Linked DNA regions of Caenorhabditis elegans. The protein of the gene in region 1 purifies or fractionates together with the protein of each later gene. This does not show direct contact. Each region holds a gene or a part of one and is shown on either strand. Other genes may lie near its edges. The genes, in order: eif-6, rpl-8, eef-1B.2 and kin-19.

What was found.
Region 2: the proteins of eif-6 (region 1) and rpl-8 fractionate together in Caenorhabditis elegans (co-fractionation; one large-scale study listed by BioGRID). This does not show direct contact.
Region 3: the proteins of eif-6 (region 1) and eef-1B.2 fractionate together in Caenorhabditis elegans (co-fractionation; one large-scale study listed by BioGRID). This does not show direct contact.
Region 4: the proteins of eif-6 (region 1) and kin-19 fractionate together in Caenorhabditis elegans (co-fractionation; one large-scale study listed by BioGRID). This does not show direct contact.

Annotation. Positions count from the first base shown.
Region 1 is NC_003279.8:12,965,073-12,972,435, forward strand, and holds eif-6 (Eukaryotic translation initiation factor 6), read left to right. Parts: upstream 1-3,873; 5' UTR 3,874-3,887; coding exon 3,888-4,160; intron 4,161-4,209; coding exon 4,210-4,317; intron 4,318-4,590; coding exon 4,591-4,950; 3' UTR 4,951-5,163; downstream 5,164-7,363. Other genes in the region: tba-2 (Tubulin alpha-2 chain), read right to left, coding at 1-448, 499-1,191; pbs-2 (Proteasome subunit beta), read right to left, coding at 2,316-2,570, 2,629-3,207; prx-11 (Peroxisomal biogenesis factor 11), read left to right, coding at 6,543-7,187. UniProt on the Caenorhabditis elegans protein: Binds to the 60S ribosomal subunit and prevents its association with the 40S ribosomal subunit to form the 80S initiation complex in the cytoplasm. May also be involved in ribosome biogenesis. Involved in miRNA-mediated gene silencing.
Region 2 is NC_003283.11:20,476,283-20,483,678, reverse strand, and holds rpl-8 (Large ribosomal subunit protein uL2), read right to left. Parts: upstream 3,991-7,396; 5' UTR 3,985-3,990; coding exon 3,705-3,984; intron 3,671-3,704; exon of another isoform or gene 3,546-3,670; intron 3,479-3,545; coding exon 3,368-3,478; intron 3,312-3,367; coding exon 2,920-3,311; 3' UTR 2,845-2,919; downstream 1-2,844. Other genes in the region: dhcr-7 (7-dehydrocholesterol reductase), read left to right, coding at 187-387, 1,662-1,823, 2,102-2,485, 2,541-2,782; calf-1 (CAlcium channel Localization Factor), read left to right, coding at 4,760-4,861, 4,909-5,029, 6,153-6,249, 6,302-6,376, 6,656-6,794.
Region 3 is NC_003282.8:15,034,044-15,041,889, forward strand, and holds eef-1B.2 (putative elongation factor 1-beta/1-delta 2), read left to right. Parts: upstream 1-3,287; 5' UTR 3,288-3,305; coding exon 3,306-3,447; intron 3,448-3,497; coding exon 3,498-3,578; intron 3,579-3,626; coding exon 3,627-4,726; 3' UTR 4,727-4,795; downstream 4,796-7,846. Other genes in the region: fcd-2 (FANCD2), read left to right, coding at 40-305, 968-1,638, 2,698-2,898; hrpu-1 (B30.2/SPRY domain-containing protein), read left to right, coding at 6,032-6,115, 6,170-6,280, 6,331-7,444, 7,497-7,846. UniProt on the Caenorhabditis elegans protein: EF-1-beta and EF-1-delta stimulate the exchange of GDP bound to EF-1-alpha to GTP.
Region 4 is NC_003281.10:4,081,989-4,091,095, forward strand, and holds kin-19 (Casein kinase I), read right to left. Parts: upstream 4,649-9,107; 5' UTR 4,583-4,648; intron 4,518-4,582; 5' UTR 4,501-4,517; coding exon 4,351-4,500; intron 4,293-4,350; coding exon 4,213-4,292; intron 4,139-4,212; coding exon 4,039-4,138; intron 3,759-4,038; coding exon 3,604-3,758; intron 3,554-3,603; coding exon 3,440-3,553; intron 3,399-3,439; coding exon 3,284-3,398; intron 3,232-3,283; coding exon 3,076-3,231; intron 2,958-3,075; coding exon 2,802-2,957; 3' UTR 2,015-2,801; downstream 1-2,014. Other genes in the region: unc-79 (Uncoordinated protein 79), read left to right, coding at 366-505, 558-693; C03C10.5 (uncharacterized protein), read right to left, coding at 7,778-7,950, 8,323-8,452, 8,513-8,569.

The DNA.
Region 1 (7,363 bases):
CGGTAGTGTTGGAGAGCATGCAGACGGCGCGTGGCACCTTGGCAAGATCACCTCCTGGCACAACAGTTGGTGGCTGGTAGTTGATTCCGACCTTGAATCCGGTTGGGCACCAATCGACGAATTGGATGGTTCTCTTGGTCTTGATTGCAGCGATGGCGGTGTTAACGTCCTTTGGAACGACGTCTCCTCTGTACAAGAGGCACACAGCCATGTACTTTCCGTGACGTGGATCACACTTGACCATCTGGTTAGCCGGCTCGAAGCAGCTATTGGTGATGTCGCTGACGGACAGAGCCTCGTGGTAGGCCTTCTCAGCAGAGATGAGTGGAGTGTAGGCGGCCAATGGGAAGTGAATTCTTGGGTATGGCACCAAGTTGGTCTGGAACTCGTTGAGATCAACGTTGAGGGCTCCATCGAATCTCAAGGAAGCAGTGATTGAGGAGACAACCTGTAAAAAGAGAACATTAGAATACAACAATCAAATTGAGCTCAACAAACCTGGGAGATGATTCTGTTGAGGTTGGTGTAGCTTGGTCGCTCAACATCCAAGTTTCTGCGGCAGATGTCGTAGATGGCCTCGTTATCGACCATGAAGGCGCAGTCGGAGTGCTCCAAGGTGGTATGGGTGGTGAGGATCGAGTTGTATGGCTCAACGACGGCGGTTGAGACCTGTGGAGCTGGGTAGATGGAGAACTCGAGCTTGGACTTCTTTCCGTAGTCGACGGAAAGACGTTCCATAAGAAGCGAAGTGAATCCGGATCCGGTACCTCCTCCGAAGGAGTGGAAGACGAAGAATCCTTGGAGTCCACTGCAGTTATCAGCGAGACGACGGATCCTGTCGAGGACGGTGTCGATGAGCTCCTTTCCGACGGTGTAGTGTCCACGAGCGTAGTTGTTAGCGGCGTCTTCCTTTCCGGTGATCATCTGCTCTGGATGGAAGAGCTTCTTGTAGGTTCCAGTGCGAATCTCGTCAACGACAGTTGGCTCGAGATCGACGAAGATGGATCTTGGAACGTAACGGCCGGATCCGGTGTCTGAGAAGAAAGTGGTGAACGACTCTCCCTCGTTCGTTGATTGAGTTGGCATGGTTCCATCGGGCTGGATTCCGTGCTCGAGGCAGTAGAGCTCCCAGCAGGCGTTTCCGATTTGGACTCCGGCTTGTCCGACGTGGATAGAGATGACCTCACGCATTTTCTTTTCTGAAAAAGAAAATTATAAAGTTTTAAAAGAGAAAGACAATTGTTATATGAGAACGAAACGATTGCGGTGAGAGCAGAGACGAAAGTGAGCCCAAATAGGGCCGAGAACGCACGAGCGCGCGCGCTCTCTCAACATAGCCCAACATCGGACACCGCGGTGGACAAGTCATCGATTGCAAAAAAATGATGACGAAATAGCGGGGCGCCAGTGGAGAGCGGATTGAAATGAGTGCAAAGGAGTGGACTGCAAGGGAGCCAAAACCCCGTTGTAAGAGACCCAGAGAATAACAATGGGAATTTCGCAATTCCCAATGGGATTACTTTGAGTCATTTTGAAACATACGTGCTTTCGGAGATTAATCAAGGAAGATGCAGCAGAAAACCGTCTTGTGAAATCGCAAAATGATTTGAAAATGTTGAATTTCAACTTGAAGAAGCTTCACGTCTTCAAAATTCGATTTTACGTGAAAACAAACATTTTTGAAAGGGCCGGAACACGGCCGAATGAGGGTAAACTATGGAAAACTGATAAAATAATGATAAAATTTGGAATTTTTCGGAAAAACGACACTGATTACGACGGGGAAGGCAGGGAAATGAGTCAGAACAAGATACAAAAAAATGTTTCGCGCCAATGATTGGTGGGTGGAGCGTGTTTGCTATATGACCTGCACATCTAACTCTCTGCGCGGCAATTCAAATCGGATTATTTTTTTCTTGTGAGTTTTGACTCTTCTCTCTTGACTTTTGAGAAGAATTCAGGTGGAAATTAGTTTTTCGCAGAAAGTTTTCAATTCAGATCTGGAAAATCTATTCATTTCGCAGTTTTTTCCTTTTAAAACCCGGAGAGTAACTTTTACTATTGGGAAAAACACTTGAAAGCGTTTTTCAAGTCATTTTTCCGGCTTTCAGTCCAAATTAAGACAACAAACAATACCAGTTTTAAGGAAAATAGACAGTTTATATTCGGAATTTATAAAACAAATGTGATAAGAACTGCCGGCGGATACGAAAATACCGAAAAAAGTAATCACCGACGACACCGAAACGGATGGAAAATCGAAAAAAAATAAATAATTGGGGGAAAGAATACACACATCGACAGAAGACCGCAATTTAGTGAGTGATATCCATGGACTCGACGACGTCGTACTTGTAGGTCTTGTGTTTCAGCACCTTGGTGGCTCCGGCCTGGAATTTGTAGACGAGGTCGTTGGGCTCTGGTCGCTTGCAGAATTCTGGCACAATTGGCCCCTTGAAGACGGTCTCGCTTGGCTCGATGATCACAAGATTCAAACTGTTTCCTGAGGCGTTGTCACCGTGCATACCGGCTTCCAGGGCGCGTTGGACAAGCTTCTCGGCTTCATCTTTCTGAAAAATATAATTATAGTATTTTTAGCGCATTGGAATTCAAAAATAGACTACTTACCGTCATATCAACCTTAAAATCACGCTCCAAAATAGTGATAGCTGCATATGATCCAGATCCTTGAGCTGTGAATGGGAAGGCCATTGTAGTTCCGTTGGCGGAGCACATATAAAGATGTGGGCCAGTTGGATCGACTCCTCCAATGAGCAAGTAGGCTCCGATGTATCCTTGATAGTTGAAAAGATGCTGCTTAGCTTGACGAAGAGCGGTGATCACACGAGCCTTGCGCCCGGTGTTTAATTCCAGAAGACGGAGATTTCCAGAGAGCATCTTTGTGACTTGATCGAGATCGGCGGCGGTTCCGGCTCCGCAGGCATAGATCGACTCAGTGAGCTTGTGAACCTTCTCGCAATGCTTATCGGCGATGATATTTCCGGCGGTGGCACGGGAATCAGCTCCCATCACAAGTCCGCCCTTGAAGGCAACGGCGACGATGGTGGTTCCGGTACTGGTGAGCTTTGGAGCCTTTCCGCCCATCTTGCACATTGCCTGATTACGAATGCAGTTGGAGAAGTCGAACGCGCCTCCACGGTCCATGTCCATGTGTGGGACGGTGGATTTGACGTCAGCGGTGGCCATTCTGGAATTAATGTTGTATTTGAAAAGATCTCACAAAACATTTTGAGAAAAAAAAACAATAAAAATGACAGGAAAAATACGGAAAACCATCTAGAAAAAACTGATTAACGAAAAACTTCGATTTCCCTGATTTCTGCTGTCTCACAAGTGATTTTCTGCAGATAACCTATTCAATAGCGAACTTCCACTTAATTTCTACAAATTTTTAATCAAAAATACGCTAGAAAAGCAGGAAAAATGGTGGAAAACTTCGAAAAATGTTGGAATGCTGACAAAAAGATTTTTCAAAGTCATCGCAACGACACTCCGAAATAACGCAAATTTGTAGAGTTCCGTGGAGCGTGTTTGCACCAAAAAATTTCCGTTAATTTTATTTTATTTTTCAATTGAAAATCTCTGCCTAAAACTTTTAATCTTAAGTTTTTCATTGACTTTTTGAGTTTTAAAATTCAAAAATTGAATTTTTCGTTCATTTTTAAGTAATTTCATATAAAACTGCCTATAGAAAATGAAAATTCCCTGTTATTCAATATTGCACAACATTTCGAAGCTCCGCCCATTTGTAGTTTGTATTTGTCTTGCTAACACCCATTCTTTCTCGTTTTTCCAATCAATTTTTACTATTTTCTCGATATTAAATCAATTAATTTTCAAAAAAAATTCCAGTTTCCCGGTTGAAAATGGCTCTCCGCGTCGATTACGAAGGATCGAACGATGTCGGTGTGTTCTGCACCCTCACCAACAGCTACTGCCTCGTCGGCGTCGGTGGCACTCAGAACTTTTACAGTATTTTGGAGGCCGAGCTCAGCGATCTCATCCCAGTCGTGCACACGTCGATCGCCTCGACCAGAATTGTCGGAAGACTTACAGTCGGAAATCGTCACGGACTTCTCGTACCAAACGCCACGACTGATCAGGAGCTTCAACACTTGAGAAACTCGCTTCCAGATGAGGTATGCGGGCAGGAAATTGAGAATAAATATTTAAAATTTGAATTTTCAGGTCGCAATTCGCAGAGTTGACGAGCGTCTTTCCGCTTTGGGAAATGTTATCGCTTGTAACGACCACGTCGCTATTGTTCACGCAGAAATTAGCGCAGAAACTGAGCAGGTAAGGAGAAATCCTACAGAACTGCGACTTTCAGTGTGATATTCCCACTTTTTTAATCGAAAGTTAGTAAAGAATCGTCGAAAAATGTTCGATTGTTCTGAAAATGATATTTATTTTTTGTTCAAAAGTTCGAAAAAGACCCAAACTTTAGTCGGAAACGGACAATTTTCATAACTTTCTTATTAATTTTTGATTCAAATGCTTGGCTTAACATACTGAAATTAACAATGTTCACACTACAAACTACAAAAATTCCTAAATTTTCTCTTTCAGGCGCTCGTCGAAGTGCTCAAAGTGGAAGTATTCCGTGTCAGTCTCGCCCAAAACTCGCTCGTCGGCAGCTACTGCATTCTCAGCTCTAACGGTTGCCTCGTGGCCGCCCGTACTCCACCAGAGACCCAACGAGAAATCGCCGCTCTCCTTCAAATCCCAGTCGTCGCCGGAACATGCAACCGAGGATCCGAGCTCATCGGAGCCGGTATGGTCGTCAACGATTGGGTCGCATTTTGTGGACTCGACTCCACTTCTACCGAACTGTCCGTCGTCGAATCGATCTTCAAGCTCGGCGAGCAAGGAGCTCCGACAAGCATCAGCAATCAGCTCAGAGATACTCTGATTGAGAGCATGCTCTAATCTTTTTTCTCACTATTTTTTTGATCTACCATTCATTGTTTTCCCACCTTTTTTGTTGTTGGTTTCCCCGTTTTTTGTTGTCAATGAAAAAACCCCTGAAAAATTCGAATTTTTCTCTCTTAATTCCTTCTTTGATGTCAAATCCTCACAAATTTATACCTTGAATTTCACTTTTAAAAGTACTTTTTACACGCTATAAATTTAATTTTCGCTTGATTTCAGAAGAACACACATCAACTAAACCTACTAGGTGAGTTGGACTCCACTACAAACTACACACAAAACCCTGTAGCCTGAACCAAAAGAAATCTGCCTAATTTATAGAGTCCGACGTAGCGAAAAAGATCACGAGAGAGATAGTACGAGACGCTGAGAAAATGCGCGATCACATTGCCTTAAAGGAGTACAGTGTAGTGATAAGGAGAACTATTCTTATCACTACTAATACCCCAATTTTTTTCAGAACTTTCCGTTTCAAAGTTTATTTCGATTTCTTTTTATTTGATTTTTATTCCAGTTTTTTGGCGTAAAAACTGGAATTTTGACTGAAAAACTGCAATTTTTGTAGATTTTTAGTGCTTATATATTTTTGGAATTCGACCTTTCAGCTGCTTTTGGCAATTTTTACCTGTTTTATTTGAAATTTTAGCACGAAAAACTTAATTTAGGCGAAAAATACTCAAAAATGTGCTGAAAAATAGCATAAAACCTAAAATTATGCGTTTTTCGTATGAACGAAACCCGTAAATTTCCGTCGAAAACTGTCAGTTTTGGAGTTTGTTTTGATGAAATTGTGAGGATTAAAAAACTGAAAATTTTAATTTTTAAAAGGGAAATATATTTTTAAAAAAACTTTTTTTCGATTTTTCGCCATAAATAATTAAAAAAACACTAATTTCTACAATTCCAGAACAAATAAATCGGATTTTTCTCAATTTTACGCCCGGAAAACAAGGAAATTTCTAATTTTTACGATTTTAGACCAGAAAAATCGAGAAAATTCACGATTTTTCTGAAAAAAAAATTTAAAAATTCTAAATTTTGTGATGTTTGTTACAAAAAAAATATAAAAAAAAAAAAAAAAAAAAAAACTGAAAAAACAAAAAAAAAACTGAAAAAAATGTAAAGTTTACAATTTCACACCAGAAAAATCGAGAAAATCGAAAAAATATATTTCTCATATTTTCTCTTGCTGGAAAATTCTAATTTTTACGAAGTTTGACCAAAAAAAATGTTCAGAGAAAAAAAAATTCAAAAATCGTAATTTTTGTGATTTTTATTTAAAAAAATCGTTGAAAAATTGTATTTCACCAAAAAAATCGTAAAAATTCACAATTTTTCGGATGAAAAAATATTTAAATTGTTAAAAAAAAAGGTAAAAATTTTGAAATTCAAATTTCCAAAACTTTAATTAAAAATGAAAGTATTTCCACTTTGAAAACTGTAGAATCCCTGCAAATCTTTGATTATATTATTTTTCAACTTTAATCAATTTTTGATCTATGAGCTTTTCTTTATTGTTTATATTGTTCTTCTTTCCCCTCAACCATCAACTCAATGATCAACTCTTCTCGTTCAGCTTCTCCAAAAAAATGGTAAACTCAACAACACTTGCCCATCTTAACACAAATATCGATCACCTCACTACAGTACTCTCTTCATATGCTGGAAGAGATAAAGCAATCAGATCTTTAGCATTCTATCTTCAACTCAAAAGTACCACTTCACCAGATAATGCCAAAGAAATTCTGGGCCTAGCGAAACAGCTTAGTGCCGCCCGTCTAGTATCCAGACAGTTTAACCATCCAGGAATGTTAAAGTCTTGTAGACAAATTATGCAAGCTTTTCAAACTGGAAGAATCGGAGATCCTTTGGAATTCCTCACAGGAGCAGCTGTTACAGGAATCTACACAGTCTACGGATTCGTTGAGCTTCTCGCCTGGCTTAGTGACGCTAAGATCCTTGCATTCAACTCAGCGAGGCTCTACAAATGGTGTCTTTACCTTTGGTTATCAGAACTTATCAATGGAATTGTTCGACAGATGAGAGTGATTTATCGGAAAGGAATCGAAAAATCGCAGGAGGATATTTTGACGCTTGTCGGATTATCATCAGACTTTATCAGTGGTGTTAATAGCCTTCCACACAAGATTTTATGGGCTGGAAAGTTGTCGATGCGGCAGAGTGCCTCGTTTTCATTGTTGGCTTCGATTATTGGATTTTATAAATTATGGTGATGTAGTTTTGAATGTAGACAATAAATTGGAAATGAAATCGATGAAATGCTCAAGTTTATAAATAGCAAAAAAAAAAACATCGGTAGACTTTATTTGATCTACTGTGAAAATGTTTTCCGGCAAATCGGCAAATTGCCAGAATTGAAAATTTCCGGCAAATCGGCAAAATGCCAGAA
Region 2 (7,396 bases), on another chromosome or scaffold:
TTGCTGGCGCATTTCCAGTGCAGATAGGTTTTTAGGAGTTTTTTAGCGATTCTAAAGTGCTATTATGATTTAAACACATTTTAAGCTTAAAAAGAAAAAAATCGACCAACCTGCACGAAAAACGCGCCAGCAAGCACTTTGCTGACGCATTTTCGGTGCAAGTACCCAAATTTCGCGTCATTTTAGGAGATCAAATGCGCGAAGTCAACAGCTTCTTCTCGTGCATTCTGACATGTCTTCTCTACGTGTTGGGCGCCTCGGCGGGCGTTTATCGGGGCGATTTGGTGTATCTGCACTTCAACTCGATTATATTGATTTTCGCCATTTTTGCAGTGCTCATTTGGGCGGCTCTAATTGCCACGTATCATTTTGGTACTGGTAATAGTGGTGAGTTTGGTTTTTTGGATTTTTTTTTTTTGAAAAAATTTTTTTTTTTTTTGAATTTTTTTCAATCTAACTTGCCATGGATCTGAAAATCAGGTTTTTCTTCAAATTTACAAGAAAAAAGTTGCAAAAAAAAACAATTTTTCCATAATTTCAATTTTTCACTGACTTATTTTCCTATTTTCTTTTAAATAAAAATGTTGAAGCCAGTTTAAAAAAATTGCCGATTTGCCGGTTTTGCCGAATCACATCACCGAAAATTTTCAATTCCGGCTGCCAATTTGCCGAAGATTTTTATTTCCGGCAATTTGCCGATTTGCCGGAAATTATAAATTCCAGCAATTTGCCAATTTGCCGGAAATTTTCAATTCCGGCAATTTTCAAATCCTGCAATATGCCAATTCGCCAGAAACTCTAAATTCCGGCAATTTTCGATTTGCAGGAAACTTTAATTCCGGCGATTTGCCGATTTGCCGAACATTTTTATTTTCGGCAATTAGTCGATTTGGTGGAAATTATAAATTCCGGCAATTTGCCGATTTGCCGGAAATTATAAATTCCAGCAATTTGCCAATTTGCCGGAAATTTTCAATTCCGGCAATTTTCAAATCCTGCAATATGCCAATTCGCCAGAAACTCTAAATTCCGGCAATTTCCGATTTGCAGGAAACTTTAATTCCGGCGATTTGCCGATTTGCCGAACATTTTTATTTTCGGCAATTAGTCGATTTGGTGGAAATTATAAATTCCGGCAATTTGCCGATTTGCCGGAAATTATAAATTCCAGCAATTTGCCAATTTGCCGGAAATTTTCAATTCCGGCAATTTTCAAATCCTGCAATATGCCAATTCGCCAGAAACTCTAAATTCCGGCAATTTCCGATTTGCAGGAAACTTTAATTCCGGCGATTTGCCGATTTGCCGAACATTTTTATTTCCGGCAATTAGTCGATTTGGTGGAAATTTTCAATTCCGGCACTTTGCCGATTTGCCGAAAATTTTCAATTCCGGCAATTTGCCAATTTGCCGGAATTTATAATTTCAGGCAATTTGCCAATTTGCCAGAATTTTCAAATCCTGCAATTTGCCGATTTGCCTGAAATTATAAATTCCGGCAAATTGCTGATTTGCAGGAAATTTTAATTCCGGCATATTGCCGAATTGCCGGAATTTTCAAATCCTGCAATTTGCCGATTTGCAGGAAATTTTCAATTCCGGCAATTTGCCGATTTGTTTTTTTTTCAGATTTCAAAAAGAAAAATTTGTATTTTTTTCAGTGACAACAATATCGGAATTCTGGTTCGGAATCGAAAATCATCCGAAAATATTGGATATCGATTTGAAAAGCTTCATCCGAACGAGATTTACGTTTGTAATTTGGCCGCTTTTTGTGATTTCTGCAATGTATTTCCATAAAATCACCTATGGACAGATTTCTAGTGAGTTTTTTTTGTGTTTTTAATGGAATTTTGGCTGAACATTGGGAATGTCTGAAATTTTACAAATTTGTAATTTTTTTTTTAATTTTCAAAAAAAACTTTTTTCAAGATTTTTTTTCAAATATTTAAAAATGTTAGCTAAAATTTTGAATTCTAAAATTATTTTTTTTGAAATTCTCGAAAAATTAACGCAAAAAAAAAAAGATTTTGCCAGAAATTTGCAATTTTCAAGTTTTTCTCCTTCGAAATAACAAATTCTACAAAAATTCAAATTCCAGCGTCTCTCGTCTGCTTATCAAGCGTCCAACTACTCTACATTTTCCAATTTCACTGGAACGAAGACCTCTTTCTCAACTCGTTGGACTCGAAGCGATGCGATTTCGGCTTCTATCGAATTTGGGCGGATTTCGTGCTGGGACCCATTATCTATACATCACCAGTGACGATTCTCGTGGCGACTAATCGATCCGTCGGTGTGATCTCCAACTGCTTATTCTGTGCTGTGGCGATTGGCTCGATGGTTTTCACTGCGAAATGCGATCGGCAGAAATATGAATTCCGGAAATCTAAAGGAACGCTGAAAGTTGGCGGAGTTGATGCTTTTTTTATTAGTGCAAAGTATCGAACTGACTCCGGAGATGCTAATACTAATCTTTTACTAGGTAAGCTTTTCGCTGAAAGCTTGATTTGTCTTCAAAAAAACCACTAAAATTCCAGGCAGTGGTCATTGGGGAGTATGCAGGCATCCAAATTATGCCTCCGAAGCCATCACATTCGCCGCTTTCTCTGCATTTCAAGGCTTCCCATCCACCATTGCTCACATCCCATCCTTATTCGTTATCCTGTTCCTTGTTGCACGAGCATTCACCGATGAGAATCGATGCCTGATCAAGTACGGGCAGTACTGGGCGCAGTATTGTTCGAAAGTTAAATACCGGTTTCTTCCTGGCGTGTTCTGAGCCTTTACTCCCTAATGTTTTTTTCCTAAATTTTTTTGGTTCCAAAATTATCGAGCTCTCAATTTTTTGATGAAAGAAAGACAAGCGGTTTTTTAATAACAAAAATGTATTTTGTTGAATAACAAATAACAATACATTTAGACGTTCTCCTCCTTGGTGAACTTGACTGGCTTTCCTCCGCGAATTCTTCCGGTACGGCGGGCGGCGATAAGTCCAACCTTCTTTCCGGCACTGGCGTCTCTTCTGACGGTGGATGGATGTCCAATATGTTGATGGTTACCTCCTCCGTGGGGATGTTCGACTGGATTCATGGCAACTCCTCTGACACGTGGCCAGCTGTTTCTCTTTGCCTTGTACTTGTGGTATGAGCGTCCAGCCTTGAGAAGTGGCTTGTCGGTACGTCCTCCTCCAGCGACGAGTCCAATCATGGCGCGGTTGACCGATTGAACGACCTTCTTGGCTCCGGATGGGAGGCGAATACGTGTCTTCTTGGTGTCTGGGTTGTGGGCGATGACGGTGGCGTAGTTACCTGAAAATTAATTAATTGATTAATGAAGATTATATTGGTATTTGTGCAAAACTTACCAGAGGCACGGGCGATGACTCCACGGTCTCCGGACTTGTTCTCGACGTTGCAGATGGTGGTTCCTTCTGGGAGGGTTCCGACTGGCACGATGTTTCCGATTTGGATTTGAGCTGAAAAAAATAATAATTAGAATTTAGTAACTAAAAATGAAATGTTTAGTTCTAAAATTTCGAAAGTAAAGTGTTCGTGCACACAATGACCGATTCTGACAAACTATCACACCGGGGGTAAGAGGCAAAATTTCCTATGGTCCTTCCTGAAGGGCGTAGAATCAAAATAATTCAGGCCAGATTAAAAAGGACAAGCCGGATGCTTCAAACTGAAGGAAAAACTAACCCTTAGCTCCACAATGGATGAATTGTCCAGTGTGCATTCCTTCGGCGGCGACGACGGTAGTCTTCACGGTCTTGTACTTGTATGGGTCGCGGAAAGCGATGATGGCAAGTGGAGCTCCTCTTCCTGGGTCGTGGATGATGTCCTTCACGAGTCCCTTGATGTAGCCATGTCTCTCGGCATAGTCAAGAGGACGGAGCTTGGACGCTCCTTTGCGGTGCTTGTTGTGGCTCTTGAAGATTCCACCAGCTCCTTTACGCTGGATGCGGATACGACGTCCCATGTTACCCTGAAAAAATTCAATAATTATGACTGAAATCTGCGGAAAAGAGGTAAACACTACAAAAATAGACGAAAATAAAAGTAAAACAGCGAAAGAGATGACAAACTATCGGAACTGAGAATTAAAAATTCGTATTTAGACGGAAAATAATATTTTTCAGATAAAAAGCCGAAAAAATCGAGATTTTGAGAGAGAAAGAGACGACGAATGATCAAAACAAGCATTAAAATTGAATTTCTATAATTATTTGAACATAAAAACAAAAAAAAATTACTGAAAATCTTCAAAATTGGCGAAAAAAGTTTAGGCCAGCCGAAAAAATAGAAGAAAACGAGAGCCAAGCAGCTGCGGCGGAGAGGGTGGGTCTCGCCACGACAGCCCGATAAATAGCGTGCGCCTTTAACATTTCTCGTAAATCGACACAAGGAGAAGAGGGAAATTAATATTAAATCTGAAAAATGAGAAGAATTTACGAATTTTGAAGGAAGAAAGTTGAAATTTGGAGAAAAAATTGATTTTAAAGTTATTCAGAACATTATTGAGGTTGAAAATCTGATAAAATCGTTAAAAAACCGGAGAAATACGTAGAAAAAGAGAGAAGAGCCAGAGAAAATGAAAAATCGATGAGCTGTCGCCGTCTCTTCTGGGCTCACGGCTTCTGCTCCTTTCTCTACACTAAACCACTAACATCTGGGTGCAAAAATGCACTAATTCACGCCAGCTTTTTCCCTTTTCCACTAGTTTTCTCAATTTTTAGCTAATATTTTCCACTAAAATGTCATCTCCACAACAATTCACAATTCCGGCGAGCGAGGTGATGACGTCAATTGTGCTCCCGACGATAATTTTCTGTGTTGGGCTCGTTGCAGCCATGTTGGTACGGAAAAATGGGGAATTTTATCGATTTTTCATCGAATTTTGCAGCTTGGAATTAATAAATGCAAGCAGTGGGAGCTGGACAAGGTCGTCGAGATGAGAAGATCACGTCGGGTGCTCCAGCGAGTTACGAATAGGCTTAGAGAGAAGAATTTTAAGACGATACAACGTGAGAAGCTGGAAAATTGATGTTTTGAGTGAATAATACGGATTTTTAGTGGAGAAAAGCAGTTTTTGAAGGGCTAAAAGCATTAGAAAACTCGAAAATTAATTAAAATTTGAGATTTTTGGCGAAAATTTGAGATTTTTATTGAAATTTTGAGATTGTTTGTGTAAATTTGCAGTGTTTTGGCGAAAATTCGAGATTCCTAGTGAAAATTTGACATTTCTAGTAAAAATTTGAGATTTTCAGTGAATTTTTGAGATTGTTAGTGAAAAAACTGAGTTTTTAGTGGATAAATTAAGTTTTTTAAGGGCTAAAAGCATTTGAAAACTCTTAATTTTTCTGTGAGAATTTCGAGGGAAACTGCAGGAAAAGTGGCGGAAAAGTGGCAAATCCAACTTTTTGGAATAAAAAATTAGAAAATCTTCCAAAAAATTGAAATTTGAAGCTCCAAAAAGCTGAAAATAGACGTTTCTGATGAAAATTTCCAATTTTGGAACTGAAAAACATTGATTTTTACCTCGAAATCCGATTTTTAACGTTAAAATCCAATTTTTACGATTTTTAGATAAAATTTGAACTTTTAAGGCCCGAAAGAAACAAAATGCTTCGAAATTTTCAATTTTTGAGGCTTGAGGAGCTGAAAATTGTCGTTTTCGATGATGAGAAATTCCGTAATTCTAAACAAAAATTCGATTTTTGAAAATCGAAAAGCATGAAAGTCCTGGAAATAATATTTTGTTTCAATTTTTGAAGCTCGAACGTCGTGAAAAGCTGAAAAATTAACGTTTCATGGGGAAAATCCAGTTTTTTTTCGTGGAAAACGAATTTTTAGAGCTGAGAGCTGAAAAATTAACACTTTGATTAAAAAAATTTCGAGATTCGGGCTTAATTTTTGAATTTTTAGCTGAAAACTGATGTTTCAGTGTGTTTTTGGCCAAAAATTTAGGTCTAAAAGACGATAGAATTGCGAAAATGCATTTTTGAAATGAAAAATCTTGATTCTTTCGGAAATTTTTGTTCCTGAAGTTCTAGAAGCTTTGAAAATTGAATTTTATCTGAAAAATCTAGTTTTTTGAGTGAAAAATTCAGATTTATACGAAAATTCGTGTTTCTAAAATTGTTTTAGGAGCTCGGACAATGCGAAAAAGGGCCGCCAGTGCAAAAGCAAGAAATGAATTCTCACCGCCGGCTTATCAATCAAAAAACAATTCGACAGAGTTTCCGTAAGCGATTTTAAAGTGAAAAATTCAATTTTCCAAACGAAATTCTCTCCAGGTGTGGCACATCTCCTCCGCCATCGTATGAAGACGACGTTCTCGAGGAGTACTACAAAGAATGTCACCCGAGCAGGTAATTTTCGTCAATTAAAGTATAAAAAAGTCTGAAAATTGAGCATTAAATGAGAAAAAATAAATAAAATCCACTGCGTCGTCAAATTAAATGCCGGGTACGTAGTTCACCGCCTCTGCGTACCCGGCATTTTATTCGACGAGCAAACAGCTGAAATTTTTGAAATCGACATTTTTTCGAAAATAAATAAAAATTTCAACGTAAAAAGCAAAAACTACAAAAAAACTACACACTGAGCACATAATTCGACTAACTAGACAGCTATAACCAAATTTTCAGACGATCTATCCCGGTACCTAGCTCTCCTCGACGATATATTCGACAAAGGTCGAAATTCAGTTCTGCAGCAAGAAGAGTCAGCCGTTCAAGTGTCAGCACCGGCTGTCATCAACCTCGAGGATCGATCCATATTGTGTAGAGCTGGAGCAGTAAAATTCAATAATTTTTTTCGATTATTTCTGCCTATTTTGAAAATTGTGTACGAAAGCCTTGTCTAAACACCTTTTTCAATGTTTTATTCTTGAATATCGATAAAGTTTCCATAAAGCATTGATTTTCATACGAAAAAATATTTTTAAAAAAATGCAGAAAACACATTTTTATGTGCTTCGCTGCGAGACCCATGACACGTTGGCAGCTATGCGCCTTTGATGTTTCTTACGGTATTCTAAAGTTTGTTTTGCTATAGAATATATTTCGAATAGCCGATTTTCTCGACTTTTTGCTGCAAAATTTGATTTTTTTCATTATTTTTAATCAGTAAAATGCAATATTCTCACCAGAATTCTCTCTTTTCGTTGTAAATTTAACGTTTTTTTGTCTTTTTCACAGTTTTTAGTCCCAAATGTTGGTAATTTTCTCATTTCTTGATATTTGACAGGTTTTTATGCCTTTTGTTGCATTTTCTCCGTTTTTCGTGACAGATGTGTAGCAATCTTGTTCAAAAAGTGCTGCCCAACCCCATTTTCAAACAAAAATCGCTATTTTTGCTGAAATTCTAACCGAAATCTGTGATTTTGA
Region 3 (7,846 bases), on another chromosome or scaffold:
TTGCTGTACATGTTGTAGATCACAAAAAATCTTTTTCAGCGGTGAACTCTATGGTGGTGAGGAGAAGCTTTCCCCGGCAGAACGAGTAGAACGGAAATCTGTGCTAATTCGAATAATCGAGAAGAAAATGCTCAGCTCTGAGCATTTGTCCAATGATTCTGAAAAGGCTCGTGTGGAAATTGGCAAATTTCTTGCCAAATCTGCAGAGTTCTCACCGACTCCTGCGGTTGCCGTGGCGATTTTGGACGTTTTTGAAGATTTGAAATTGGATGAGGATGATGATGCGGAGACCAGGAAAATTATGGGTATATTGGAATTTTTTTAATGTGCAAAAATTGTGCAAAAAATGTGTAAAAAATGTGCAAAAAAAGCTCTAAAAATGTGTAAAAAATGTGCAAATATTGTGCAAAAATTGTGCAAAAAAAGCTCTAAAAATGTGCAAAAATTGTGCAAAAAATGTGCGAAAATGTCTCCTTTTTAAGACGAAAAATAACAAAAAAAAATCGATTTTTTTCAGAAAAAATAATTTCAGAAAATTTACTTTTTTTCCGTATTTTTTTGTTCAATTTGATGGAAAAAAATATGTTTTTCTTCTAAAAAACGGTTAAAAATAGCTAAAATAATGTGTAAATTCTATCAAATGTCATCAATATTTCTTTGGAAAATTAATTTTTCGGCGAAAAAATGTCGATTTTCCGAAGAAATGCATATAATTTTGTTTAATTTCAGAAAAAAAATTTTATTTTTTTTATTTCCATGAAAAAAAACATGAATTTTTCTTCTAAAAAAAACGAAAAAAAAATTCAAATTTCAGCAAAATTTTTGCAGAATGTCTCCGTTTTAAGACGAAAAATAACAAAAAAAAATCGATTTTTTCAGGAAAAATTTCAAAAATTTACTTTTTTCCACACTTTGTTTTCTTCTAAAATTTTCTTCTAAAAAAAAACGAAAAAAATTCAAATTTCAGCAAAATACGCGCTCGCCTATCTCAAAAAAGATTGGAGCAAAGTAGACGAGCTCTGGAGCAAAGGAACTCGCTACACATGTGCAGTTCGTGACATTCTTCACCATTATATTCGTCTTCGAAAGGAAAAAGATCAACTTTTGGCGATTCAATGGATTCTGACAAATAAAGTAGTTCAGCTGGTTCCAGAGGATGATAAACGGAAATCCTGCGTATTCTCACAACAATCTGATGATGATTTATTGGAAAAAGAAGATCGAAAAGCGACATTTTATTGTATTAGTAAAACGACTTTTGGTGTCATTTTTAAAACTTTATTCGGAAATTTGAATTCTCGATGCTTAAAGTATGATATGTCGGCCAGTGCTGCCAAGAATGGAGGTGTCGACATCGAGGATACTCTGGAATCCTGGGAAACTGCTTCATCATGCTTTCTGATCCTTTGCCTTCTCCTTAGAATCAATAAAATCCGAACTACGGCGGTTTTGACGTCGGCTATTAAAGAGGGAAAACAATTTCTGATTACTGTTTCTAAAAAGAGCTCATTCATATTTTTAATGGATAATATTACGAAGGGAACCAATTTCGATACGATTTGTAGAAGAGTTGAGAAGATTTTATCGGCTGTTCAACAGGGAAATCGTGTCTTGCAGAGTATTGGAACTTTTGCAAAGGTTCTTTTTTTTGCGATGGAAAATTCCACGTTCTCAGGATTTGGATTTTCAGAGGAAAATGGATTTTTTTTTTCAGTGTTTCGGGGCAAAAAACAAAAAAACAGGCTTCTTAATTTTTGGATTTTTTAAAGAGAAATTTGATTTTTTTTTGGTCCGAAATTGAAATAAAAATTCTTTTTTTTTTAATTTGTGATGGCGAAAAATAACAAAAATTGAAATTTGTAGAAAAAAATCTTCAAAAACAAAAAAAAATTCGAATTTCGATTTTTTTAAAATGAACTTTTCAGAATATGAAACCCATTAAAAACCACATTTTGCTTTAAAAATTTTTTTTTGTAAAATACGAGAAGTGAGTTTTTGTCCAAAAACCAAGAAAAAAAATTAATTTTGAACCAGAACAGACCGGAAAAAAAAACCATTTTGGACCGAAAAACAATTTTTGCAAAAAATAACCATAAAAATTCATTTTTTACCCAAAAAACCTAAAAAAAACCAAAAATATCCCTTTTTACCCAAAAAAATTAATTTTTCCCAAACCAAATCCAAAAAAAAATTAATTTTTGGTTTAAAAAACCAGAAATACAATAAAAATCCAAATTAAAAAAAAAAAAAACCAAAAAATCCTTAAAAATCAATTTTTGACCAAAAAACTAGAAAAAAAACCTTTAGAAAAAGGAAGAAATAATCTTTTTTTGCCCAAAACAAATCCAAAAAAAAAATCATTTTTTGATTAAAAAAAACCAGAAATCCAAGAAAAAAATCCAATTTTGGCCAAAAAACCCATTTTTAGCCACAAAACCCCCACAAAAAAACCATTTTGCAATTATGCTCAAAAAAACTTTTAAAAAAACCAAGAAAAAATTATTTTTGTCCAAAAAAAATCCAATTTTGTCCGAAAAAAACAGTTTTTTATCAAAAAAAAATCCATTTTTGGCTAAAAAAAACCCAAAAAATTTTATTTTTGCCCGAAAAAATCGAAAAAATTTTCCAGATCCTGAAAACGTGTTACCTCCACTGCAATTTTTTTCTCAAAAAAAAACAAAAAATCTCAATTTTCAGACGAACAAATGCGTGCTTCTTCTCAAAAAATTCCCGGAACTCCGTGCAGAAAGTGAGAATTGCCTTCGAGTAATTCATTCGGCAATGGTGAAAAATGAATGTTTGAATGCATTCACTGTTGGACTCGTCAAAAGTCGAAGTATTGATGGAGATATTATTATGGATCAGCGTGCCAGTGAAATTGACTCGGATTCCGAATGAAATTTTAAAATATTTTAATTTTTCGCGTTTTTAAACGGGTTTTCTCTGTATTTTTAACTTTATTTTATTTTTTCCAAGTAAATTTGTTGTTTTTCGTTCAGAAATTGCATTTAGAAGCTGAGAAACCATGGAAAATCATTAAATCATGATTTAAATCACGATAAAAATAGATTTCGCTTCAAATTTTGAACTTCCCTCCATTAAACTTTAAAGGCGCATGGAGATTCACAGCGCATGGGTCTCGCCGCGCCGTGTTGCATGTGAAGAAATTTTGGGTAATTTTTGCAGTTTTCTAGTATTTCTAGCGCTGTTGTTCGGTTTTTTATTTGTTTTGACGCTCGGAAAATTTATTTATAACTTTATTTAATGTGCCAGCATAGTTTATTATTCAATTTTCAGGTAAAACAATGTCTGTCGAGGGTCTTCTCTCTGAGGTCAAGCACTTCAACGCTCATCATTTGGATGCTGCTCTTGGAGAACAATTGTTCTATGGAGGGAAGCGTGTCTTCTCCGACGTTAAGCCAGGAACTTCTTCTGGTGGTGACCACGGTATTTATTATTATTTTTTATATAAAATGTTTAATATTCAAGTCTTTTAGGATGCAAGGGAGGAAAGAGCGAGCTCAAGGGAGCTATCCACAATGCCAAGCATGCCGCTGATAAGGCTTTGAACAAAGAAGGTAAATTTGGCATTTTCTGAAAGCTAATTTAACGCATTTCTGTTTCAGGAGGAGAGGACGTCTCCAAGCTTCGCGAAGAGCACTCTGCTCTTGCCAAGAAGGTCGACGACTTGGCCAGTCTTGTCGCTGAGCTTCAACTTCAACTCTCGACTCTTCGCCAAGGACAGGTAAATCATCGTCGTCACGTTTTGATTCTTGGCGACGGAAATCTCTCGTTTTCCCTTGCCATTGCGTCGTCAGATCCGGAAACTGTATACTTTGCAACTGTTTTTGATTCGAAAGAACAGTTTTTGAAAAAATACAACGCTCATGACACGTTAAACGCTCTAGACGCTTTGAGCAATGTGATCCTATGTTTTGGAGTTGACGCGACAGATCTGCCGGTTCGCTGGAGCAACATCTTTAACACGGTTATCATGAATTTTCCACACCCTGGCGGTAAAACCAATCTGAGAAAGAGTAAAATTTTGCTCTCCGGAATTTTTGCTTCCCTCAGAAGTATTATGGATAGCCAAGCAGTATTTCTTCTCAGTCTTGCCATTGGACAGTCTGGGCTCGAGAAGGTCTCTGATCCGTGGATGAACGAGCTCCCAAGTCACAAAAAAGATTCCTGGCAGGCAATCTATCTGGGCGCCGAGAATGGCTTCATTCTCGACAGTCTGGAGAGGTTCGATACTGATAGATTCGCATCTTATAGATCTTCCGGTTATAAAGAGACTAAAAAAGGGTTCAATAATCGTGAAGGATTGACATTTTCCTTCAAAAAGTGTGATAATCAGCAGAAGTCTCTGCGCGATTTTCAATTGGCTGAGCCTCCGAGGAGTGGAAAGTTCAAGTTCAACTACTATAGGCCCTTCTACGCCCAGGATCTGTCGATTTTGTTCAAAATCGGTGAGAGCGAAGGAGAGAAGCTCGCCGTGGAGCTCGTAAAATCGATCGCTGGAAATTGTTTAGCTGCGATTTCTGAGATTGAATATCTTCGATCCATCTGCCCAGATCCGCCACTCCCAAATAGGATCTACAGAATTATATGGCACGGCCTCGAGCTTCCGATGGGACGTGAAATGTGCTCCAGAATCCATGAAGAGCTAAGAAATCGGATTGCTGAGGAGATTGTCGCCAATAATCTTCCACTGGTGCTCACCTGAAAGATCTGCTCGTCTTCTGTTAATTTATTTGTTGTATGTTATTGTTATGAAAAAATAATCGTTGAAAAAGTTGCGAAGTTATAGTTTCCGAGGTCCAAAAGCCTTAATTTTATATTTTCCATTTTCTAATACTAATTTTTTGTTTTCAGACCAGCTCCGTCGCTGCTCCAGCTGCCGCACCAGCCGCTGCTAAAGAGGAAGCTGCCGGAGACGACGACTTCGATCTTTTCGGATCCGAAGACGAGGAAGAGGACGAGGAGAAGAAGAAGGTCGTTGAAGAGCGCCTTGCTGCCTACGCCGCAAAGAAGGCCACAAAGGCCGGCCCAATCGCCAAGTCCTCGGTCATCCTTGACGTAAAGCCATGGGATGACGAGACTGATCTCGGAGAGATGGAGAAGCTCGTCAGATCCATCGAGATGGACGGACTTGTCTGGGGAGGTGCCAAGCTGATCCCAATCGGATACGGAATCAAGAAACTCCAGATCATCACCGTCATCGAGGATCTCAAGGTTTCGGTCGATGATCTCATCGAGAAGATCACCGGAGACTTCGAGGATCACGTCCAATCCGTCGATATTGTTGCCTTCAACAAGATCTAAAGGCCTAATCAGTTGTTCTTATATCCATTATTTCTATCTATTGTATTTCAACCTTGTGAATAATTGGTTTATTCGGTGTTTTTCTCCATTTATAGACAATATTAAATGTTTTCATCGGTTAAATAAACGTTCATTAGGTGCAAATTGCGTCAGTTCTTCGTTGAATAAATTTAATTTCCTCCGGTTTGTGAACTCTGGTGCAGTACTGAATATTAAAATCACAGAATTCAACTCAAAAAATATAAATTTAGAGCAAAAATGCTGCTCAAATGGAACACAAAATCGATTCCGCCGTGAGTTTTTCCCCATTTCCCGCCAAAAAAATTCAAATGCACGAAAAACACGCCAAGCGCACGAGAAACGCGTCAGCAACGGTTACAAGTTTCGCGCAAAGCGTCATTTTTCGCGTGATTCAATTTCACAAAGAAATTTCGCGTTTTCAGCCGTTTTTCATCATTTTTTTGCGAGAAAAATGTGAAAATAATTTCCTGTTACATGGGAAATATGATTTTGCGTTGAAATTTCGTTGAAAAATCGATAAAATTCGCGGAAATCTCATTTTATTGTCCGATGGGTCGAGATTTCCCAGTTGCTTTCGCGCGTGAAAGTATCGATTATTTTTCTCGTTGGTGTGAATTAGTTATTCGCTTAATATGCCGCATTTTTCGTAGCATATAAAATTATTTAATTTTCTCAAATTCCAGGCATGCGCGCCTCTCGTCGCAGTGGTGCCAGTGGAACGCTCAACAAGGCCACCGTTCCGTTGCTGCCTAAAAATCGACTTGTAAAGGTAGGAGGAATATTTCAATATAAAATTTCTTCATTAATATAATTATCTTTTCAGGAACTACAAGACCGCGGACTCGACACTTCCGGGGTGCAGACAGTACTTGCCGACAGGCTTGTAGAGTTTTTAAGCGTTGAGGATGGATCGATTTCAAGTCCTGCAGTGGTGGTTAGTTTAAAAATCGATAAAACCAGTTTTAAATTCAATATTTTTTGCAGAAAAAAGCTCCAGCTGCTGCCAAAAAGACGCCTGCCGCAAAAACTCCGAAATCTGCGACAAAAGTTGATTCAATACGCCGTTCAACTCGAGGAGCTCAGCAAGTGAAAGAAGAAGAACCCGAAGAGGAGGAAGAAGAAGAAGAAGAGCAAGATGAGCCTGTCCGGGAGACTCCGAAACCGAAACGAAGAGGACGACCATCAATAAAGCAGGAACCTCCAGAGGAAGAAGCCGCGACAGAAGATGCTCCTGTTCCAGAAGTTCCAGAAGTCACCGAACGTCGAAAGAAGCAGAACAAGGAGAACGCCACTCCGCTCGTCAAGAAGGATCTCAAAAGAAAAGCGCCGGCAGTGAAAATCGAAGAACCCGAAGAGCCAGAACCTGGAACTTCTCAAAATGAGCCATCAACTTCACAGAATGGAAAGACGACTCTGAGCACCACTCCGCAATCAGAGGAGAGGCGATCTCGACGGAAAAGTGCTCGACTTTTGGCTTCAGAACAAATGGATGTAGAGGATGAAGATGAGCCTGAAGCGGCGGCGGATCCGGAGCCCCCAAAGATTCAAGAGCCCGAGAAGAAGAAGCAGAAAGTTTCGATAAAAGAAGAAGTTCCAGATGTGGCGGCGGCTGTTGTTTCACAGGAGCCACAGGAGCCACCAAAAAAGCAGAAGCTGACTAGAATAAAAGTGGAAGTTGAGGAGGAAGATCCAGACTTTCAACCACCAGATGAATCGGATCCCATCAGGCATTCGAAGCGTATAAAAGAGCACTCGGAGCACAGTTATGATGCCCTTCAGCAGACGCAAAAGGAGAAAGCTGAACGAGCCGAGAAGCTGCTCAAGAAGCAGAGAACCTCATCATCATCTTCTCAGCCATCTCCAGCGGTTTCTGCACAACCAAAACCTGCGAATTGGCAACTGGAATGGGCGGCCAAGATGGCAATGCACAAGAAGCCTGCTCCGGCTACCACAAATGGCGTGAATCCGGAGCATGTGAAGAGAAAAGAGTCTGGGGAGAAGCCTGCCGCCGAAGTTGCGACGAAAAAAAAGAAGAAGGAGGCGATAGACACGATTGAGGCATTGATGCTGTCCACGATTAAGGAGATAGTGGAGAAAAGTGAGTAAAAAAGGCAAAAAATAGTGGAAAATAATTTAAAAATTAATTTCAGAGCCGTCTATTGATCGTCCAGATCGTCCAGATCGTCCAGAACGTCCAGAACGCACCGTCGGCGGTTCCGATGCTTCCGACAGCTCTCAAGGATTCCTGAACAAGCTGACATCTCAAGCTGCTCCAGCTCCATCTCCAAAAGCTCAATATCCAACCGGCGTGTTCTTCAATCAACCTCTTCCACCACCACCAGCACATCCTCCAAAGATCGGTGCACATCCTCTGGTCATGGGTGGTGGTGGAGGTGTCCCAATGATTCCGATGGTTCCAATGCCACCTGGAATGATCGGGCTTCCACCAGGCCCTCCAGGCCGAAGACGTAAATCGAGATTCGATCAGCCACCACCGGAG
Region 4 (9,107 bases), on another chromosome or scaffold:
AAATTCAATTTTTAACATTTCGAAAAAAAAAAATTGGTAGGAAATTCAAATTAAATTTAAATAGTTTCAAAAACTTTTGGCGGGAAACTCAAATGCTCATTTATTTTTTTTTAAGAAAAAACTTAAGAAAGTATGGTCTAAAATTTTTGAAATATTTGGCTGGTAATTAATTTTGAATTATTTCGAACCTTATTGGCGGGATGTTCAATTTATTCCCATAGTTTCTCATTTCAACTAGCCACAAGAATGCCTGCTTTCCAGGCAACCTAGAAGGGCAGGCATGTATGCCTAGAGACTCCCTAGTGGCTCACAGAGCACATATAAACCTTATTTATCAATTGATAGTGAGCATAACAATTTTTCAGCTAGCCGACATGGTCAACTTGCACTTTCTGAACACAATCCAAGCTCTTCAACAAGTAAATTCTGCTCTTCTCTGTCAACTTTACTCGATGTGGGCACCCATCCTGACTGCCTATCACTCGCAAATACCTAATCAATTAAGGTAAGTCCTTTCGATAACTCTGATCCGCTTCTAACCATTTCTCTTATGACAGAATGAAACTCGACTCTTGCCAAAATCAGCCCTCCCTGGAAGCTCCGTTGGTGACGGAGTGGCTGAAGAAAGTGAGATACAAGATATCGCAGGTCGAACTGCAAACCTCTGCTGCCTCGCCCTACTACACTGTCTAAATGATCAATTCGAAACGTTACGGGTTCACACAACACACAAACATCCTTCACAATACGATTTTCGGTGCTTTCAAAACAAAACAATGAATTTTTACTATAAATGGTTTCTCAATTATTATTTTTCTACTTATATCAGGAATTCATTTGCAGTAAATCTTTCGGGTGGAACATGGTGCATTGGGACAGGGTTTGCACAACTTCAAAAAGTTAAATTTAACGCACATTTATTTAAACACAAGTACCGTTTTTCTCTATTAGTGCTGCACCCCATTTTCTATTAAAAGAGTCACTTGACAGTTTCGATATTTTCGGGTATTTTTGGGTATTTTTTGTATATTTTTGATGATTTTTTGATAATTTATGAAAGCAATTGAATTAGTGGGTCTTTTTGTTACAAAAGTTCGCAATGTTCGCAATGAATTTCTGCTGAAAAAAATGAGTTTTTGTCACAAAAAACTAGTGATCTATAATTGAAAATTGCCGTTCGAAAATTAATGCTGCAGTCTCCAGTAGTACTGCAGTCTCCAATAGTGCTGCATTAAAAAAGGGCCTGGAAATTAGTGCTGCATGCAGCACTAATAGAGAATATACGGTAGGTACTTTTGTAGAGGAGAACAAACGGATTTTTTTGCGAATAAGAAGAGTTTCGAAAATTATAAATAAATCGCAATTTTTTCCAGACGAATTGAAAAAGAAATCATCAACCATATTTTGGCTCTTGTTAGGTAATAACTTCTTCAGCGTACACCTAACGAGACCCAAAACATTAAAACAGTATTGAGACTTTGGATAACAATAAAACGAGTAAGCTTTCAATCAATTTTTATTCAATTTCTTATTCTTCTTTATTTTTTAAATTTATTCGTCTTAAAACATGAAATGATATTTATATTCGTCGAGCTTGTGTTCTTTCGAATTTCTCGGAAAATTCCGTTTTTCCTGAAAAGTTTTAATTATCTGCTGAAAGAGCTTACCTTGGATGCTCCAACATATTGGAGCACTTAAATTTATCCTTCCAATTGGTTTTTTGTCGTCAGTTCAGGATCCTTGTCGAGCATTCAACAACTCCTCCATTATTCCATGAAAGTCCAGAGATCGGGATGTCATGCCCAAGTGTCTTCTTTTGGAGGCCCATTGGGCTTTTGTGCCATCGAATTGTTGGCGATCGATTGAACTATCCGATATGTGAAGTTTTGTATTTTTTGGAAGTTTATATAGACATATTTTTAGGGTAGGAAAGTTCAAAAGGGTGTTACGGGAAATAGCATTAATTTTTTAAAAACTAAATTCCTGAAAAGTTTGAAAACAAAACAAATTTTCTAAAATGATGAACTTGTTCATTTTAAAGTTTAAACGGAAAAAAATTCGACAGCAGCAGATGTGAGAGACTCAAGCGCATCTTTTCTGGTCGTTTTCAGAAAAGGTCGCAAAAAACAATGTGATGAGAATTACGACAATTTATTGATTACACACAAAAAAGAACGGAGTGGGGCTCTGATTTCTGGGTGGGGAAGTTATGGGAGGGTATTGAGAGGCATTTGGAGCCAAAAGAGAGGGGGTGGGTGTGTCAAGGTGAGCCGGTTATACCCAAAAACATGTTCGGCCACTTGACTTTTTCAGTATTTTTTTTAATTTTTGAGTGCCCGACATTGGGACATTTTCATCATTACGAAGAAAGGAAAGGGAAAAATGGTAGGGGGGAATAGAGAGAAAAATATATTGGTATGTTGATAGGGAGGCATTCAAGAAAAAAAGGTCAAAACGATTCGAAAAATGGGGGAATAAAAATCCTACTAAAATGGAAAAGAAGGAAATAAAAGAGAGTAGGAGAAGATGATGAGACTATTTATAAAACGACAAATAAAAGTGCTGAAACTGCGAAAAGTAGAGAGTATTCATCTTTAGTTAAAAAATTGGTTAAAAGATAAAATACAACAAAACATTCCACAATTTTCAGCACACAGTTAAAGAGGCATGTTAGCCCAAGAAAAGACAAAAATAGTAGAGGGGAAAAAAATGAAAAGAGTAGAGAGACGAAAGAAAGGATAGTACATGATTTAACATGGGCTTTTTTGGATTAAAAAGCCTCAGGACGGCAACAAAACGTCTTACTGTGGAGTAGTTCCTCCTGGTGCAACTCCAGCTGGAACTCCAGCTGATGGAACGGTAGCTCCCTGTGTAGTAGTGTTGGTTCCGGGGACGCCACTGGATTGCGATTGTTGAGCCTTTTGTTTGAGCATTGTCCAGTCGAATGTGTAGTCGTACTGTAAATATGCATTTTATTATATTTTCTTAAACAATGTTGCTTTTTTTAAAATATTCATTCAAGTATTAATTATGTTTGAAAAGGTTTTCTGTAATTGTAATTGTTTTAACACGAACCTGATGATTGAGCGTTCTGAAGAGAATTCTGAACAGTTGCCGCAAGTACATGTAATCTGGAGATTCATCGAAACGAAGTCCTCTTGTGTAGCTCAAGTACATTGGGAACTCAGCTGGGAATCCTTTGCACAAGTGCTCGACTGATGTCGTCATTTTCTGAAAACATTAAGTTGAAAAATCGATAAAATGACAGGATCACACCACAAACCTTCTCAGAAATCTTCTCATACTTTTGCTTTTTCGTGGCGGCCTTCAATCCTTGCCATGGAAGAGTTCCACGGTTGAAGTACATCAAAACGTATCCAAGGGATTCCATGTCATCTCTGAAACAGTAAATTTTAAATTTAAAAAAAATCTAAAATACCTTCTCGACTGCTCAATTCCCAAGTGGGCGTTGATGGATGCGTATCTGGCGGTACCGGTCAAGTTCTTGTCCTCTCTGTATGGAATATGAGTTCTGGTGCGTGAATCACGGTATCTGAAAATAATTTGATGAATATTTGTTAAACTATGATAGTGAGTGATTACTTTTTGGCCAATCCGAAGTCGATCAAGAAGAGCTTGTTGCAGTGACGTCCTATTCCCATCAAGAAGTTGTCTGGCTTTATGTCACGATGAATAAAGTTCTTGACATGCACATATTCGATACGTCCGATCATCTGGTCAGCCAGCATGAGAACAGTCTGAAAAAAAATTATCTTGATGGAAACTTCTTTAATAATGAAAATTTGTGAGAAGGATGCACTCATTTTCGAAATCGTTTATTATTTATTTACTCTGAACTCTGAGAACTCTATTTCTATGACCAATACTCTAACACATTGGCAACAATGATCATTAATACGTTTCATGTGCGAATTTCAAAGTAATTCTTGAAATTGAAATATTCACGTGAAGTAATTGCGCGGTGAAGCAGAGGAATCCGCTGCTGAAACTCATTTTAAGCTACTCGTCACCACTGACCTTCATGGTAAATCTTCTGGAGCAGAAATTGAAGAGATCTTCCAATGAAGGACCGAGAAGATCCATGACAAGCACATTGTACTCTCGCTCGGTTCCGTACCTGAAATTACAAGTTTTAGAACAATTTAGACGCGGTAAATATGTTCCTAGGTCTTTTTTATAGAAAAAGGTTACCATCTGATATGTGGAATTCCGACTCCTCCCTGTAGGATACGATACACTTTGGACTCGTACAGCAACTGCGGGTGCCTCGCCTAAAAATCGATAATGAATGATTATTCGAAAAAGAATATGGAAGCTGCTCAAACTAACCCGATTGCTTTCCAGCTTAATGGCCACCTCCTCGCCGTTCGTCACGTTGATCGATACATAAATGTCACCGAATGATCCTGATCCGATTTTTCGTATGAGCTTGTATTTTGTCGCAACGATGAAGTCCTTAACTGACATCACACCTGCCATTGTTTGCTCTGATCGTGCTGAAAATTCATGATTCACTATCGTGACTGACTAAAACTAAACAAAAAATGGTAAAAATCGATACCTTTGATAGCAGAACACGAATTGAGTGCACGAGGGCACCTGGTGGTTCAAGAAAGAGGAGCTCTACCTGAAAATATGCTATTTTTGAACGGAAAATAGAGAAACGAAAACGGTACGCGGTTGAGAATGGAACAGAAATGATGAAATACGATATTGTAAACGAATTGGCGACAAAAATCGATTGGATTGGGTAAACAACACCTTTTTTTTATTGAGAGCCCGGTAGTTCATCGAATTTCTGACAGAACATAAATTGAAAGAAAATGAAAGATTCAGGATTTTTCATCGACTACCAATTGAATTTAGCATTCCATTAGAAAACAAAAAAAGGTATTCGTGATATCAAAAAACTTTCCTCATAAATATTCCGAAAATCTAGGATAATCTACGTTAGACGACATAAAATTGCGGATTTGAAAGAAGTGCTGCTTATTTTTTTTAAATAAAAACAGACAACTTGAAAAGAAAGAATCGAGAAGAAAGGAGAAAAATAAATTGTTTCAGGTGAAAACAAATTGAGCTAAATTGGAAAATCGATAGCTGAAAACTTCAAAACTTGAAAATCTAGCTGACTACACTTTATTCAAACATAGAAAGTACGCATGTACATTTAAGTAATACTTCAGAAACCAAGACTGACAAACGTGCGCGAAGGACAAGCTTTTCAAGCTGCAGGCTAATAATCACTGCTAATTCTTTACTCCTGTTCTCACATTAAATTGTAAAACGAATAAATTGCGAATATTAAGAGCCATTAATACAAAAATCGATCAAAAAGTGAGCGTTAACAATTAAAATTTAAAAAAAGCGATCGAAAATGGCTAAAATCCTAAATTTCTCGGCTTTCTTGCACTAAAACGAAGTGCACGCTTTGAAATCTTGTGATAATCGTCCAAAAAGTTCATTAAAATTATTAAACATTAGAAATCCCCGTCTGAAAACGTCAGTAATGACTCACTTGCCACCTAATCCAACTCACAAGACAGCCTTTATTTGCTCACTTTTAGCCGTTTTTCTTCAATTTCAAACCAAATATTAGATATACCGACCACTTTATCACAATTATCAAATAATTCCCAGCCGAAAACACGAAAAACGTCGAAAAACGAGCAGAAATCGATGAAGAAACGGGGCGAAAAGGGTGTCGGGCACCGATTTCGTCAGTCACACAACCGGGAAGGCCGACCGCGACGCAGTGTTCATTGCGTCGCGGTTGCGCGCTAATTCAAATTCGACTCGTCGTTTTCTCTCGTTCTCTCGCATTTTGCATCAGTTTCGCCCATTTTCCTCGGTTTTCTTTCACTCTTTTTCGTCTCGCCTCGAACATTTTTACGTTTTTATGAACGAGACGAGTCACTTTGTTCGATTAAATGAGAAATATCACGTGGAAAATGGGGAGAACGCTGGTGGATTAACAAAATAACGAGAAAAAACAAATTTTAAGAGCAATTTCGGAAAAAACACTGGTAAAGGTTGAAATCAGCTTTTGAAAACTCAATTCTTGCCCTTTTCCCAAAAAATAATTCCTTTGTCGGATCGAACAAAAAACCGGTTTTCAAAATAAAAGTTTACACCCAACACGAGAGACAGTTGTCGATTTTTTGATAAATTACAGTCAGGTTTTGTTCCCCTTCATATTTTAATCGATCAAACAAAAAATTACAAAATTTAAAGGATCTGAAAAGCGAAAAAAAAACCCTATTTCGTTCTTTTTGCTAATAGAAAAGTTAGGGAAACTGGGAACAAAAAGAAAGGAAAAGAGCGAATCAGAATACTGGAGAGTGCATGCACTTTGGTGCAAAAAATCTAAAAATTGCAGATTTGACGAACAGAAGCCGCTGAGAACATTCGACAAAAAAGTACCCATGTTACCGCAAAAAATGTTATCAATTGACGCTAATGTTCTTATTCTTATCAATGTTAATTTAATAAAATCACAAAAGTCTACACGCCCATGACAAGCAGCACGTGATTTGAATGTTTCTAAAATGTAGAAAAAATACTAAAAAATAACAACTACGAAATAGCTAAACAAACATTAAAATGAAGAAAAATTGCAATTTCACTTCTGGAATTCATACGTTTTTTTTTCTCTCACTAAAGCGAATTAAGAAGCTTCTTCATCACAGAACACGGAGAGCATAGAGAAATCATAGAGAATCGAGAAATAGTGTATAAAATTGAGAAAAAGGAGTAAATGTTTCCCCTTCCATTTTATGCCGACCACAACTACTACTACTAGTGATGGGGGAAGAAAATGGGGAAAAAATGGAAGAAAAAGAGAGCAAAAAAGCAACCAAAAACAATTCTGATTCATTCAGTTTGTACGTTTTTTTGTTGCAGACCTTATCATGGATACAGTCAAAAATTTGAATTTTCAGCTTCTACAAGGAAAGTTTCAGCTCACTTTTAGACTCTCAAATGAAGCTTGTGACATTTTGAAAAATACCATTTTGTTAGGCCCCAACACAAAATTTAGCACACTCAATGGGAAAAAAAGGCAATCTGAAAACTTTTATGAATGATTTTAGAGGTGATTAGGGGTAGGCCTACAATTTGGAAGAAATTTGGATGAAAAATTTTCGAATTTTCCGAAAAAATATAATTCAGATGCGAAATTTCACGTTTTTTTAAGCCTAGAGTACTGTACTTGGTCTTGCCAAAGGCATCTGTTGAAGCAATTTCCCTTCTGACGCTACTCCACCGTATTGAAAGAATTAACCGAAAAAAGTGAAAAACTATGAAAATTCCACAGCAACAAAAGTTCGAAGTTACAGATTTCTTTGACTTTCAGATTTGAATACTGGAAAAACAATGTACGAAGGAGGATTCACGAAAACTTCAGTTAATAAAATGTGGGGTTACTGTAGTAGGGTAACGTAGGAACATTTATTTATGTTTCGCAACACAAAATAAGTTTGAGTCAATTTCTGATGTGGTACTATACGTTGCTAATTGACAAGTTTCAGGGTTTCCAATTTTCAGAAAATAATTTAGATTTGCTCTATCGTTTGTAGCTGGAAGTTTCTTGAAGCTATCAATCTTTGAATAAAATATGTTTATTGAGAAGAATATATTGATGAAATTAGATTTTATAAAGCATAAAGTTATAAAGTGTAAAGTAATGGAATATATGGAAAAATAGTATAGGGTTTATTATTGGTAGAATCAAAGTTTTCAGTAGAGCATTAGAATTTTAAAAAAATTTACAACATGACTTGCAAAAGATAGTTTTAAGGTCTATCAAAATGCATTTCTCCACTTCCGCTTGAATTCGGCTGATTCTTACGATCTTCTCCATCATGAACTTTGAGTTTGAAATCTGTCGGCTTGGTGACTTGACCGAGTCGCACTTTTTCGTCAAACATTCTGTAAAATTGGAAAAATTATTTTATTCTCGAGGCGTCACAGAGCGCCTTTTCTCGACTATCTTAAAATGGTTGAATTTTTTGCCTTTTCGAACTGTTTCAAATACATTTTACGGTAAGCCGAGGTACGGTGTGAGGTTTGAAATGTCGACATTAATGTCTAGAACCATTCATGGCCTAGGAAAGGAAAATAAATACTCCGGCCATCGATTTAACTTGCGGAGATAGTTTTTGAGAAGGAGATATGCATGGTCTAACGAGCTACAACTTGATACAAATCCAATAAAATTTTTCACCAAGCTATTGTTCATCTCAAAAGTTACATTTGTTGGTACCCAAATTTCAATTAAATTTTAAAAAAAGCTAGAAAAACTCATCCCGAGAAACTCGTCATGCTCTCTGATTTCGCGACAAACTTCGCCTGAGAAGAAAGCTTTAGTGTATGTTCCGACATAAGTGGTGGCGTGCTTGTTCTGGGTCCATGTGTAAATGGTTTCTCCGATCTGAAAAATATGAATTTTTCAAAATAAGACATTTAGTTTCACACAGAAAAAGAAACGAACCGAACACATTTTCTCTTTTTTCTGTTGAACGTTTTCGCCGTTTTGGTTTCCAGACATGTTTATTTCTGAAATTATTGAATTAACTTTGAGTAGCTGATTCTAGAACATTTTCGCATAAATAACTACCGTGCTCTTGGCACTACAGTAAGAAAGTACTATTCAGTTTCCAAATGGGTGACAACCTTTAAAGCAATTTTTGTTATTTTTGACAAGAACGTTTAATACTATTACAGTAAGCCTTCCATGTAGGTACAAAATATCCTGCCTACCTTCAAGGCAACCTATGTATGCCTCGTGTCAAATGTCAAAGTCCATTTTTATGCATACAGAAAGGCAGACATGAGGCATGTGTCTACCATCCACGCCATAATATTTGGAAAATTTAACTACAGTAGTACCGTACTCCTACCGTACCACGAGGAGGTGTGACGTCACAGACTACAGAAGTTTTCAGATTTAATTTTTTTTAAATTTAAAGTGAAGTTAAAGTGGCGAAAAACTCAAATTTGTTTATTCACGCGAGGGTTTTTTTTCTGAGTTTTTTTAAAACCAAATGTAATCATTTTTAAAAGTATCGATTCCGATTGCCGGCCGA